Canis lupus familiaris: one gene and its partner. The protein of the gene in region 1 binds, or shares a complex with, the protein of each later gene. Links are inferred from orthologs where the notes say so. Each region holds a gene or a part of one and is shown on either strand. Other genes may lie near its edges.

The links. The genes of interacting proteins can lie anywhere in the genome.
Region 2: the proteins of WDR20 (region 1) and USP12 are in contact, whole or in part, in a crystal structure (PDB 5K1C), measured with the Homo sapiens proteins. The link is inferred for Canis lupus familiaris from reciprocal best matches to the Homo sapiens genes WDR20 and USP12. Residues at the interface, in NP_653175.2 of Homo sapiens: Asn41, Ser42, Gly44, Ser45, Arg151, Ser170, Lys259, Ser260, Tyr261, Phe262, Gly263, Glu282, Asp283, Asp284, Leu285, His301, Lys304, Ser305, Trp306, Gln374, Asp375, Thr376, Arg516, Met517, His533, Glu534, Arg535; in NP_872294.2 of Homo sapiens: Glu207, Asn209, Thr210, Ser211, Thr213, His214, Arg217, Arg277, Val279, Phe280, Pro281, Leu282, Glu283, Leu284, Arg285, Phe287, Asp297, Met299, Gln342, Glu345, Tyr348, Thr351, Ser352.

The regions. Positions count from the first base shown.
Region 1 is NC_049229.1:70,590,343-70,597,958, reverse strand, and holds part of WDR20 (WD repeat-containing protein 20), read right to left. Parts: intron 4,735-7,616; coding exon of another isoform or gene 4,683-4,734; intron 3,311-4,682; coding exon 3,128-3,310; intron 1-3,127. UniProt on the Homo sapiens protein: Regulator of deubiquitinating complexes. Activates deubiquitinating activity of complexes containing USP12. Anchors at the base of the ubiquitin-contacting loop of USP12 and remotely modulates the catalytic center of the enzyme.
Region 2 is NC_049246.1:12,504,105-12,511,720, reverse strand, and holds part of USP12 (ubiquitin carboxyl-terminal hydrolase 12), read right to left. Parts: intron 2,928-7,616; coding exon 2,714-2,927; intron 1-2,713. UniProt on the Homo sapiens protein: Deubiquitinating enzyme that plays various roles in the regulation of the immune response and inflammation.

The sequences.
Region 1 (7,616 bases):
ACCCTAAGTGGCACCACACTCCGGTCTCACAGCCTCCTGGTACACCACCCTCCCCGGGTCCATGGCCCCCTCTCCATTCTCCTGGTCTCAGCTTCTTTCCTACTCAAGGCCTTTACCTGCTCTCCCTTCTGGGAAACTCTCCATCTCAAGCTGTTCCATGGCTGGCCGCCTCCTCAGGGGAGGTTCCAGCTAGAGCACAGCAACTACTTCATGAAATGTCCTCCACCACCCCTGTGCCTCTCCCTGCCCGCCCCCCCGCCCCCGCCCCGGCCTCTGCCTCCTCAACTGGCACATGTCACCATTTGCCCCAAGCGTGTGTGAGGGGTGCTACTGTTTACATATCTACCCCTCTCTCAGCAGGTATCTACAGGGCAGGCTCGAGTAGGCACACAGAAGGTAACCAAGGTCTGTTGCCTGGATGAGACATGGTCGCTGCTCTCGTTCAAGCCCTCAGCCCTCACACAAACAGGCACCAGCCTCCTCACTTGTCACCCTGCTACTCTCTCTCCATTCTGACCCACCCTCCACAAGCACTGACAAGCACTCTAAAGGACACACTTGACACGGTCACTCTCTTGATCAGAAGCCCAAAACTACCTTTACAGCCTCCAGCGTCAGATCCAAGCCTCTCAGCATGTCAGGGCATTTACAGTCTGGTTCCGACGGCGCACCCGCTGGCTCCGCCTCCCACCTCTCTGAGGCCTACCTGCTGCCATGATCATGCCTGGCCACCCAACACTCCTCTGCATACCAAGCAGTTTGCTTCAGCTCTGAGAGCCTCTCTCACCCTTCCCCAATTCCTGTGCATCTTTCAAGACCCAGATTAAGTGTCACCTTCTGGAAATCTCAGACTTCCTCCATCAAACTTAACTTCTGCTTTATGGTATTTGATACACACTGAAGAATACAGTTAACACATATCCTCTGGCACTTTGCTCCTGACACCCTGATAACATGCCCCAGTACCCTATCCATCTGCCTTACTAAACTGTGAGCTCCTAGGAACACAGAGGCCCAGCCATCTGGCGACCACATGTGGTGGGGCTTACAGTCTGTGAAAGTAATTTCAGTTCCACCTCTGTAGTCAACGTACTACCTGCCTGGACAATTCACTTACCTTCTCTTTGACTATTTCCTCATCTGTGAGATGCTAACAGCTACTCACCCAACCATGAAGAGGACAAATATTAAACACTCTGAAACCGCTAACTCTCATACCAATGCAAAGCATGGCGTGATGATGGCTTTCACCACCATTCCTGGCACTCTTGGAGAAACAAACCTCTAATGACCCTTGCTCTTACACATCCTGACCAAAATCTGATGAAAATCGTATCCACACAGCCAAAGAATTTCCTTACTGTGAAAGCCTCATGCTATAAGTGCCAAGCTGGAATTTAACCATACACAGCCCTAGTATGGTGAACAGACATTTTTCAAATAAAATATAAGACAAGTATGAAACCGCTCATGCTTGAATCACCAAGTGAGGAGCTGCTTCCTAGCCTGCAATCCCTACTGCTGTCCAGAGCAAGAGACAGATCTGGCTGATGCATCTGAGCACTCTCAGAGCCCCAAGACTCCTGCCTCCCCCATGATGACACACAAGCCCCTCTTGTTCTCAAAGTGGCATTCTGTGCCATCCTCAGCGGGAGGAGCCTCCTGATCTCATTTGCCAATAGCCCTTCCTCCTCAACAACATGCCCCCTACCTGAATACAAACAAAATCCCACAATGACTCCAAATTCAGTTTCTGGTGACAATGCAAAGAGTGGTTGCTCCCCCACAACCACCACCAGGAGGGGAGAAAAAAATCATTCAGCTACCAGGAAATCACTTCCTCAGATGTTATTAATAAAACATTTAGGTAAATAAAAGTTTTCTGCTTCAGACTTATTTTTAACAGAAAATGGGATAAATACTTCTCTTCTAGAGTTTTGTCAATCCACATGGCAAGTTCTGTTTCCTGTCAACCCAGTTGAAACTAGAAAAGGAGATGGCCTGGTTCAAGAGATCTCACCAAATCCATTGGCAATGCCAAACAGAAGCATTGTGGATGGGGACCAGCTGTGTGTGGACAGTGTGGGCCAGGACACTGCAAAAGAATCCACATTTTAACTGCAATCTGTCAACTTGAATATTATTGCCCCCCCACCAAATTATTTCTTATAAACCAGAACCTATAATGCACTTCTATTTCAAGCTTATAACATCAAAACCAGGAAACAGCAAAAAACCATGTGTCCTTCCTAAGAGAGGGGTCCTATGTAACCTGACTCTTGTCACATCAGGGTCGAGGTCACAAGTCAACCCTGGGGCCCTGGGCTTCTAGACTGGCAAGCCCCTTACAACTTTTCCATTTGCTGAGAAAGTCACACTGAAACAGAGAAGTGAGAACACTGAATCTACAAATGGCAATTCTGCGGCCGAAAAGCACCCCCGACAGCTTTACCATACACCATCTATGTGGCAACTGTTACGTGCCACATCTAACAGTTCTGACCTGTTCCTGAACACACAGCTCACATAGCTCAGGCTCCTTCCAGAACAAAACTGGAGACGCTAGAAATCAAACACATGCTATAAGACTAGCAAAAGCTACGTCCTGTGATCCATCTTTAAATGCCAGCATTTCAAATATGTCAAAGGTGATGTTACAGCAAATATCTCTAAGAGAAAGAAAGCTACTCTTTAGCCAAACACCTGTCAAATGGAGACACAAAAGACTGAGCTACAATTTAAGTGGCCTAAGGAAATATTATCAAGTTCTTCAATCTGCATGAAATTTTCTGGTGATGTGAACAAGGTCCAGAATTCTGTATTTTCTTATTTAAGCTATAAATATCAAGTGACAGTTTTGTCCCTGTCTCCATTATAAAAGAGTTTTAAAGCACCTGCTAAAGGCAGCTGAGCACGCTCCATAAAAATTGCACAAAACAGTTCCCCCAAGGAAGAATAGATATGTCAACAAGTTAATCACCACATTTAAACGGGTAATACTAGGTAGGACAGTGAAAGAATGAAAAATGGGCTTTAGCTCGGCGTGTAAAATAAGGCCCACTGCCCTTGGTAAGAACGTATAAATTCTTAAAGGGATTCTTAACAGCTAAGACAGGGTGCTACTTACTTCCTCATTAAATAGTTTGCTAGTTTCTTTTTTGATTGGATCTATAAGCTGGACTTGGCCTGCGGAAAAGCCCACTAGGAGAGAGACACTTTCTGCTGTGGCTGTTAGGTGGTTGAAGTCATGACAAGTAGGCTGTGTTCCTTTGTATATCCTTTTATCTATTGGTTTACTCAAGTCAGCAGCCTGGAGGAGAAAGAGAAAAATACATACGGTAAACAGCACATTGAGATGAGAAATCTAATAGTTACACTATTTTATACTCCATTACGATGTTCAATCTTAAAAACAAAGGTATTTAAATTTTTGTTTCAGTTTTCAGCATTTTGTAAAAGCACTTTCACATACATAAGCCAATTTGATATTGTCAAACTATTCATAATATAACTGTTACCTCCATGACTTATTCTTCAAATATCTTTAACATAAGCTCCTGGACTTCAGGAGGAAAACTTGAGATAACTAATTCAGTATTTGCAAAATGCATTCATTCCAAGCAATTTCTAACAGAGTACCTCTAACCACATAAAAACTCAGCTTGCAAATGTATCTACGGCATCTAAATGCTCACTGGTGAGTTACCTGTAGCCCAGGGGTTCTCAAAGTGTGGTCCCGAGACCATTGGTGGCAGCAGCAGCATCACCTGGAAACTCAGAAATGCAAACTCTCAAGCCCCACCCCACATCAAATGAATCTGAAACTACAGGGGTGGGCCTAGCAAGCCTTCCAGGTGATTCCGATGCTCACTCCAGATTTGAGAACCACTGCTGCAGCCAATTATAAGCAGGTGCCTTCTTAGTGGGTCCCGGTCCCTCTTCTGCATTAGCTTTCAGGTACCTTCACTTACTGAGGCCACACTCCAAAGTGCGTGACACGCATCATCTTTAAACCTTACAATGATCCCTCAAAGTAGAGAACGTTCCCCCATTTTGCAGATGAGAAAACAAGCTTAGGGAGGTTAAATAACTCGGCCACCATACCTACCTAAGTAAATAAGCAACTGGATGTGGAACCCAGGTCTGTTTGACCATAAAAGGGATGGGGAGAACACACACCCCAAAGTCAGAAGCAAATATTTCTGACTTGGGCCAAAAGTGATTTTTCAATCTGCCTCCCCCTAAATCCCTAAAGCAGGACTTTTTTCTTCATGAGAAATGTTCTGTGCAATCTAATGTGCTGGATTCACGTGGAAATTAAGGACACCACCCTCCAGTCTTAGTGGGAAGTCACAGGTGCAGACAACCAGGCTGCTGAGCCCATCCTCTGACACAACCACTGGGGCCACGGCTCTCGTTATCTGCTGACCAAACCCTGAGTTAGGTTCTGAAAATGTCTTTCCCCCAAAGAGGCCTGTGACATTGTGCCGAGGATTCTGTTTCATTTTCCAAATAACAAACACAAATACTGAGTAGAAAAGAGGAACTCAAAAATCACAGGCATCTTTGAGCAAACTCCAAACCCGAGCATTTGAAGTGTGGACCCGAGTGGAACAGGATCTCTGAGAGCCCAGGGCTGAGGAATGAAGATACATGCCATGCGGACACTCTCCCAGCCTCACCTCGGTTAAAACGGAGATGAGAATCTCTGTTCTACCAACCTCATGGGATTGTCTGGAGGATGAAATAAGAGAATATATACGTGAAAGAGGCTTGAAAAGTGTAATATAAAGCACGATACAAAACACAGGGAAGTCCTGACTTTGCAGCAAGGCGAAATGGGGCCAGTTCAGAAGGGAGTAAGTGCTGAGGCAGGCTGAAGGCTGTGCCCTGAGGAGGTATGAGGGAGCTTCAGGGGCCAGAGAAAGCCACCTCTGCCCCCTCCCGTTCCCCCACAGGGACAGGCCAGGGACAGGCCACCTGAGGGAAGCTGCTCCCAGGATGGGTCCTGAAAGCAGGGAAAAAGCAGCTAGACTAAGGGACCTTTAGCAAATAATTTCAGAGCAGAGAAGGTATTGGTAAATGTCAAAAGAGCCCAAGCTAGAAAAAGACATTGGCAGCTAGAGACAAAAACCAAATCTAAAATACATACAATTATTACATGATCTCTACACCAGCATATATCTGAGAATTTTTTTTAAAGTTTGCTTAGGGAATTTCCCCCTTAAAGAACATATCTAAAATTATGCACAAAACTATAAAAATCAATTCAAAGGCAAGACAAAAATTAGCAGAGAAAACAATATAAATTAAATGAGCAAAAGAACATCCAATGGTTTTCAGAAACAACAGAGGAAGTAAGCACATCCATTTTCCTGAATATTGTTACTAGGGTAGAGTTAAACTTACAGACCCCTCCCAGTAACTACATTAGCTCACTTCTTGGTATATTTACTATATATCCTGCCTAATAAGGAACTTTATTGAAAAGATGTCATCTGTAATTAGATTACATGTATTTTAAATGCCAATAGAAAGACTACTTTTACTCTTAAATCATGTAAATAGTCCCAAAACATCCTGCTTACTAATCTGCTTAACAACTTTCTTCCCAGACCAGGGCTCTCACAGTGTACCAGTCTGCGCCAGTCTACAGGCAAGATTAAGTACAGAGATGAGAATAAGCATTTAGAAACTTTTATGGCAATCGGACAGAGTAACTTTCTATTGACTCAATAATAAAAATTAGAATTTGTATTGTGCACCTCTATCATTTTGTTTCCCAGTATCTTTTTTTTAAAATTTTAATAAAGTAGCAGTCTAGACAGATGGAAAATTTTAACAATTGGTCCTTCAACACTGGTGAGAAGCACTGCCCTAGGAGGCACAAAAGTAAACCGAGGCCCAAGAAACACTCAGAATCTCTCTCATCTGGGGTGACTCCCTGTCCCCAACCCCCAACGGCACCAGCCTTACTAGAACAGCAAGCAACATGGCCCTTACAGCAAGCACAAACTACTATGAAGCCCTATGTGACTGCTAGGTATATGCCTGTAAGAAATTCGACTTCTGAGAAACCCATGGACTCCACCACAGGTCACTGAGCTATATGGAGCCCAACACCAGAGGGAGAAAGTCTGGTTACCAGTACCTGCCTTCATCTCGAGCAATGCCGTCATCTCTGACCCATTTTGTCCTCTTTCTTCTGCAACCAATCACCAAGTTCGATCTCTTTTCCTTTTTTTTTTAAAGATTTTATTTTATTTATTTTATTTATTCATAGAGACAGAGAGAGGCAGAGACACAGGCAGAGGGAGACGCAGGCACCACACAGAGAGCCTGACGTGGGACTCGATCCCAGGTCTCCAGGATCACGCCCTGGGCTGCAGGCGGCGCTAAACCGCTGCGCCACCGGGGCTGCCCCTCGATCTCTTTTCCTATTAATGTGTTGGTGTCCTATTTCTTCTTCCTCCTCTTCCTCTCTTCTTTGGGGGTGGAGGGGTGCCAACACAGACACTGAATTCACACACATTTTAGTAGCAGTAATAACCACCTGAACAGCCATGCCTCTTCTGCATGGTGTTGCTAGATGGCTTCCCAGGGAAAGGAAGTCAGGAGAAAGAACCCAGACTTTGGAGCCAGGCAGGCCTAGGTTCAAAGCCTGCCTTCCCTCTGGGAAGACGGGTGGCCTCAGGCAAAGTGCTCCACAGCAAGTGAGTGGTGAGGCCCACCAGGAATGGATCTATGAAGCACAGGGCGTGCAGATTCACCTGACTGGCAGCTACCATTGTTAATCTGTCCCTGTCATAGCTTCCTAATTTCCCTTACATTGGAGTGACACCGACTTCCACCTGTGGAGTGAAACATTTGCTGGGCACCAGTGGCTTCACATTCACATCTCTCACATCACAGTCCGCCCCCAAAATACCCTGCCTTGGGGACACTGATACCACTGGCCTGCCATCCTCTGGGGAGGGACAGGGAAGGGACTCAGTCCTTCAGGGCCCAGCCACCAGCCCTGGGCAGGCCCTCTGCGGGAGGGTGGCCCTACTGCTGGGGGGTGGGGTGGGGATTTTATCCAGTGGTTCAAGCCCCACCTCCAAAAAGCTTTTCCCAACCCCCGTTCTTTGGGTTGGCTCCTTTATCTCAATTCTCAAGTCCTTAATTTGTTCCACAAAATTTAGTATCTAATCGCTTATATGATTATAGTATTATGTCTATTATCAATTACAATAAAATTATAATTACTATAAAAAATTACAATAAAACTCCTTTAAGGAGCAGAACTTCTTTATTAAGTAATAACCACTGTATTATTCCACAAAATCAGCCTTTATGTTTCAGCTTTCTGGTGAATTCTGCATAGATGAGTTAGATCACTTGGAATTTTTTTTTAATGCATCTGCATCCTAATTATTGTTAATTACCTGAATTCTTAAACACGAATTTATAGTGGAATGTATTTTTAAAAAATCTTACCAATGTTAAGAATTAGATCACGTTTGGTTACTCAGCCCCAGCAGTGTCTGGTCTGTCACAAGTGCTGTCTTGAACAAATGAAACTCGAGTATTCCAAATTTTTCAGGGGTAAGATTAAATTGTATTTTATGCTCATT
Region 2 (7,616 bases), on another chromosome or scaffold:
CTCTTTAATTTGTATGCTCTCATCTACAAGTAAAAAATCAAAAAGTAAAACTATATTTCAAAACACACAAAAGTCAGCAATATCAAATATTAATCATGCTTTTCCATTAAATACTGTTTCCGAGATACAGAAAAATGAAATAAAACTATGAGAAGATAATTTGGAGTATTTATCCTGAAATCAGTTTCATTGAACAAAAGTTTTAAGAAGTCCATTGTGCATCAATTTACTGTCTAAACATAAAAATTTTCAGAAAATATTGATTAAAAAATAATAAACAGTGTAAAGACATCCCAGGTTTGACAAGCAAACATATAAAGCCACATATACATAGCTTTCAAAACACAGTAACTTGAGCTCAGTGTTCAGCATAACTTAATTTAAATTTAAAAAATCACTGCACACTTATAAGAAGAGATAGGACAGAGCTTGCTTCTTTCTCTTTCCCATGTGGGGACACAGCAAGAAGGCAGCCATCTGCAAACCAGGAAAAGAGCCTGTATCAGACACTGAAGCTGCCAGCACTTTACTCTTGGATTTCTCAGCCTCCAGAACTGTAAGAAACACAAGTCTATTGTTTAGGCCTCCCAATCTATAGTAGTTTTGTTACAGCAGCCCAAACTAAGAGCATATACAATATATTGAAGAATAAGGTCAAGGGGTGCCTGGGTGGCTCAACTGGTTAAGCGTTCAACTCTTCTGGCTCAGGTCATGATGGCAGAGTCGTGAGACCAGGCACTGCATTTGGGCCCTGCACCCAGCTCCACACTCAGCAGGGAGTCTACTTGAAATTCTCTCCTTTCTCTCCCTGTGCCCCTCCCACATGTATGCTTATGCGTGCTCTCTCTAAAATAAAGAAATCCTAAAAAAAAAAAAAAAAAAAAAAAAGAATAAGGGTCAAGAAAAATGTACTATTAACTGAAAAAGAAAATAATGTGGCGGATGCCTTGGTGGCTCAGCGGTTGAGCATCTGCCTTTGGCTCAGGGCCTGATCCCGGAGTCCCGGGATAGAGTCCCACATCAGGCTCCCTGCATGGAGCCTGCTTCTTCCTCTGCCTGTGTCTCTGCCTCTCTCTCTGTGTCTCTTATGAATAAATAAATATTTTTTAAAAAGAATATGTATTTTGTGTTTCATGTTTTTGATGCTGAACATTGCTAAAATACAAAAAAAAAAAAAAATCACCAAGAAAGGATGGCATGTTCAATTACCACATACGTGAATTTTCTTCTAGGACAAAATTCTTGAAGTTTCATACCAATACACACAAAAAGACTGAGAGGACTTGGATCACTCAGCTACATTCTAGCAGAGCTGTATTTGGCATTCTTAAAAGTAGAAGATACTACACAGATCAATAATTTAAGAAAGTAAAGATGTTTAGCCTTTATAGGGAAAACACAAAAAGATGTATTTTTGTGAGCGAATGATTAACTGCTTTTTATCTGAATATGGTGGAAACGAACAAAATCTCTAACACGTGAATCAGATTCAAGAACAACAGCTTATCGCCATATTTTCTCAGTGTCTTCTTACATTTTGGGAAACTAGATATGATCCAGGTTTATCTCAATTCATGGGATAATGAACAATGCCAACTGAGTTAAGGAAAGGATTATTTAATGGTGTGTTTAATAACCAGTCTCAAAGACCTATCAAATCTTATTTCTGGGGGCATCTTTTGATAACAAATCAAACTAAAAACACCACTCAATTTTATTTCTACAATGATAAAAATGCCTAAATCAAACAAAACCCAGCATTCTACATGCTCCTTAAATCCCACTTAAATTTCTTGAGGTAACATACCACACTAGACAGAATATAGGATCTGGATGTCAGGAAGATGGGACAAGCCATTTTAAGTACTCTGAGATTCACTATCTCATGTAAAGTGAGGTAATAACATGACTTCAGGGTTTGCTATGCGCATTAGACGAAAAACATTTAGGGGAGAAAAAAGAAGTGAGGCTTAATCAGTAACTATTTTAAAAAGGAGGTGAGTGGAGTTAAAACCACCTACCCTAAGCCAAAAAGTTTTATTATTCTGGCTTTTCTCCTGAAGTATGACCCCTGGCAAGCTTTTTGGCTTCCACTCCTTGTATGGCTAAAATGGGGGAAATAACCTGCTCCCTAATTCAGGATAGTATATAAGGATCAAATAGGTTAATATACATAAAAGCATTACAAAAACTACAAATAACACGACGGGGGTGGGGGGGAACCCAACTTCACTCTGGATAGGAAAGCCAAGCAGGCACCAACAAAAAAAAAAAAAAAAAAGGAAGAAAGAAGAAGAAAAAAGAAAAGAAGAAGAAGGAGGAGGAGGAGGAGGAGAAAGAGAAAGAGGAGGAGAAAGAGAAAGAGAAAGAGAAAGAGAAAGAGAGAAAAGAAAAGAAAAGAAAAGAAAAGAAAAGAAAAGAAAAGAAAAGAAAGAAAACAAAACAAGTTATCATTTCTCATTTCCTGGCATACAGAATTTGGTCTTTGCAGAACATACTTCCAACATTAATCACACCTCCTATTAAATTACTGTGTGACTATCTCCTCACTAAACTGGTAGTACTTCCTTAAAGACAAGAACATCAACTTTGGTTTTCCAATGGCTAACATCCTTCAGGCTTGGAAGACGCTTGGTCAGTGCTTGATGAAATCTAATATGCTGTATTTACCCTTCCTGTTATGTGAAAATACATTCAGAAGTAGAAGAATTACCATTTTCCTTCCGTAATCTTGTTATGAACTTCTTAGGAGGAATCACCCCAACCTTCTTCTTCTGAGTCGCTATACTATGGAAGAGGTCTGCTAGGCAGGTAAGAAGGTTCTCCTTCTTCCTAGGTTGGCTCTTGTACGCTAGAACTTTTTCCCGAAATGGACGACAAAAATAAAGTGCTTGAAGAACTGAATTACAGTAGCAGGTATTCCCAAACTAGAATAGAAAAAAAAAAAATCTTGTTAAACTTGGGGCAACACATTTTCAAGAGAAAGAATTTCCATGTGTATAGTTAAGAAAACAGAAGGAAGGCAGTGAACTTATGATCCTCATAAATTAAAAGTCATCTGAGAGTAGAAATAATTACTCCGACTGCAAATTTGCCATCTTAACATTAAATGGATGCTCTAGGCATTGGCTTCAGGTTAAAACTGAAGGAAAAAATATGTAATAAATTTGGTTGTTATGAAAACTGACTTAAACTATACAGTTTAAACAGTGAGAATAGTTAAGGCTTAGAATTCTGTATAATTTCTTCTTCAATTTCCATTTGCTGCATTTTGGACCCTAAACATTTCATATATTATACATTTTAAAATAGAACTCTCAAAAATTATTTAAAAACCCCCACAAAACTGAGGTATTCTATCAGATTAAGTGCCATTCAAATATAAAAACAAGGGACCCCTGGGTGACTCAGTCAGTTGAGGGTCTGCCTTCAGCTCAGGTCAAGATCCCAGGGTCCTGGGATGGAGCCCGAATGGGACTTTCCTGCTCAGCAGAATTTGCTCTTCCCTCTACCTCTGATCCTCTTCCCCTGCTCATGCTCTCGAGCTCTCTGTCGAATAAAAAACCTTTTATTAACAGTAACAAACACCAAAAATTAAAAAGTGAAGTAAAATGAGATCCTCTGAACTGTTAAAAATTTTCAATGTGCCAGCATGACCACCACTGAAATGCTGTGATGCCCAGTCACATCACTTGTGATCTATTACAAACAGACTTCAGGTGCATTCAATCCTCAACTACTAACCAACTTCCTACTGGCCATGTGATCTGGAGTGTGTAACTACAGCTTCCTGAACTTCAACTTCCTCCTCTTTAATAATGGGGAAAAATAATATCGCCTTATGAGAAAATGACACACATTTTGGCAACATTTATTGTCTTCCTTTTCCCTTCCCATTAATAGATACTGGCTCCCAAAGCCGGCTGATAAAACATCCAAGAGTTGATCGATGAAGACTTGGGGAGACTTTGAAAGTATAAAAAAAGGAAAGAGGGCAATTTTCACAGCACTACCTGCAATGATGTCACATACTACCTAAAAAGTTAGGCAGAAAAGACTGTTTTAAGAATGGGCAATATAGGGGCACCTGGGTGGCCCTGCTGGTTATGCGCCAGATTCTTAGTTTCTGCTTGGTGGTGATCTCATCGTCATCTTGGGCCATGGATCAAGCCCCAACTCAGGCTCTGCACTCAGCGCATAAGAGATTCTCTCTCTCTCCCTCTCCCTCTGTCTCTCCACTACCACCTTCCCACTCATACACACACTCTCTAAAAATGAATAAATAAATCTTTTTAAAAAGGGGCAATGTCAAACACATATCCACAGACATGTCCGTGTTTGCTTATATTTAAAAACTAATAAAAATGGTTATTTATGGAGAAAGTGGAGAGGAATCAAGGTACATTTTTAAAAGCATTTGCTTTGCACTGGTTTTTTTTTTTTTTTTTAAGTAAGTTAAATCGAAAAGATCTCAGAGGAAAAAAAGAAATTCCTAAAGCTGAAAGGAAACAGAGATCAGCGAAACCTAAATGTTTATCTAGTCCACTGGAGAATTACACAAAAAATTAGTTTGAGCAACTTTAAAACACAGAATTTTTACTATACATGCCTACTGAAACAGTCTGAGAATAAAAAAAGAAATCTTAAATGCATTCAGTAATCACATTGTTAGAACTAATTAATTGACACTGTTATTTTGAAATTACTATATATTTTTGTAGGACAAAGCAAGCAAAGAATTACGTTAATATCCTTAGGAACCCAAACTGTTAATGCAAAAGAAAAAAGACACAATAATTAAGGTAAGAGTAAAAGCCCTATAAACTTAAATTGGAATCTGAAGTATCAGTATAAGCTCATGTCTTTTTATAAGTGTGTGTGTGTTTTCAACTTCTATCCACCAAAAAGACCTAGCAAGCAGCCCCAAATTTCCTGGCACACTGACTGTAATCTCAAAAAACCATTTTCCCACAAAAAGGAACTAGGATGCCTTGCAGATATGGCTACACTAGGTCTGGGACAGGAAATATACAAATGCAGATTAGCCGAAAATACCTCTTTATGTGGATTCAAGAGCCAACTTTCATCAAAAAGAAATACTGTGATTGATAAAAAGCACATCAACTACATAAAAATTTATGAATAATGACTTTTTAAAAACCCTTCATTAGTCTTCACGGAAATTATAAACTAATATATAAAGGGAAAGCGTCAAAGTTTTGTCTTCCTTTTTTTTTTGGAGAGCGAGAGAGAGCATGAGCATGGGGTGGGATGGGATGGGTAGGGGCAGAGTGAGAGAATCCCAAGCAGGCCCATATCCAGCGTGGAGCCAGACTTGGGGCTTAATCCCATGATCCTGAAACCATGATCTGAGCCAAAATCAAGAGTCGAATGCTTAACCAACTGAGCTACCCACACGTCCCTTATCTTGTCTTTCTTATAAGAATAGTATTTCAGAGGGAACTAAATAGTTGATGAAGAAGTACTAGCTTATAGCATAATTCCAGCTAATAAATTCAGAAGAAATGACTGTAAACAATGGATTAGGCAATAATTAATTATCAATGAACACCAAAGCATTAAAGCCTGATCGGGAACTTTTAAAATGACCTGAACACCAGGTGCATTCCAACATCATTAAAAATAAACCACCACACTGTATGTCTCTTGTAGAAATATGTAGCAATTCTTATGAAGTATTCTTGTTTTAAAAAACAAAACTACTAAATTTTAATCAAGTGTCTGGACATACCTACCAATTTACAAGATATTCAAGGAAAGAGAAATGAGTTAAACAATACTATAAAAAGGAATAGAACATGAGGCCCAGCGAGGATACCTGATTTTTACATTCATATTGCTGGCCAGAGCCAAGAAGTGGTTCATAAAAACAGATGCTTTAAAGACTTTCCAGAGAAATGCTAAAAAAAAAAAGCAGATGATAAGCAGATGATCCACTGATACTATAGATAAATATAACTATGGATACTTTAATAAAGCCTATCCAGGGGCTAAGGTACACCTGCAGTAGAACCTACAATATTACAAAAATTAATCTATCAATTACTCAATATTAGTCTAAAAAATACTAGTATTTGTATCACAGTCTAATGACACTAATGACTGACTATGCCTCTGTCAATTAAAGAGAAGACTCAATCTCCATAATTTGGACATTTTTTTTTGGAGAATAAGCAATAGGGACTCTAATGACTTACACAGAGTAGGTAAAAACTAAAGATAGCATCTCACAGGACATTAGAAAAATTTATAATAAAGCTTGACCAACTTATAAAAAAAGAAACAAGTGGGATAAGCTAAGGAAACAGGGAGTCTATTACATTGTACAGAATGCTGGAAGGTAGCCTCTCGCTCATCTTCTGAATATAAAACAACAGGTAAAATTGTAATTAATTCTTTGAGGTCTTCTCTGATCCTGCACTTATCTTCATCAATCCCATTAAAGAAAAATTAAAGATTGAAACTACTACAACTTCTCCAGAATAAGCAATCACTTTCAATCTTATTCATAACTCTGAAACTTTTCTCTTCAGCTTCTCTGATAGTAATTTACTTTCAAATTCCTAAAACCTAAAAATATATCTTTCTTGTGTGTCGCTTTCATGCAAAAGATTATCTGGAATGATTTCCCCCACATTCTTGTTTACAAATGTTCAATTTCTAAAAAAGACATTGCTTTAGGGTTGAAGTCTACCCTGTATCTTCTCAGCTTTTCTGAAGATCAAAGGTATAACCAGGTTTAAAATCAGGAGAAATAAATTTTAAAAAGCTGCTACCCTCAAGGTCTGACCATTGATTTTTCAGTTGCCTATTGAACACAATGACCTGTGCTGCTTTCTGTAACACCATTTTTTCCTAGTTTTAAAATAAATGCCTCCTCCACAAATATTTATTATATCCTCATCACTAAGATCATTTTTGAGCACACATCCCTAATGTGCTACATTACATAAAGTATACTTTTATAAAATGTAAAATTTATATACATAAAAATATACACTAGATCCAGTTAGCCTTTAAACAATGTGGGAGTTGGGGGAGCTGACTCCTCACAAAGTCAAAAGTCAGCATGTAACTTTCAATTTCCCAAAAACTTTACTAAGACTACTGTTGACCAGAAGCCTTATTAATAACAATCAACTCATATTTTGTATCTTATATGTATTATATACTGTATTCTTATAATAAAGTAGGCTAAAGAAAATGCTATTAAATCATGAGAAAAAATATATATAATACTATACTGTATTTATAACCCTACCCAAAATGCATATAGATAGACCTGGGCAGCTCAAACCCATGTTGTTCAACAGTCAACTGTAAAACAAATGTCATGAAGACAAAGTAAATACTTAAAATTTTTATCTTACTTAGATTGATTTTATTTTTACTAAAAATTATTCATATTTGAGAGCAATGAAGATGAGTAGGCCTTCTGGTAAACTGGGGTTATAGATTTTTAATACTCGGATTGATAGTCTGAGAAGCAACTAGAGTACCAGAGAAACTAAGTGCACAGGCTCTGAAACCGACTGTCTAGGTTCAAGTCTGGTTCCGTATCCGGGCTTGAGAAATTACTAAACCACTCTGTTCAT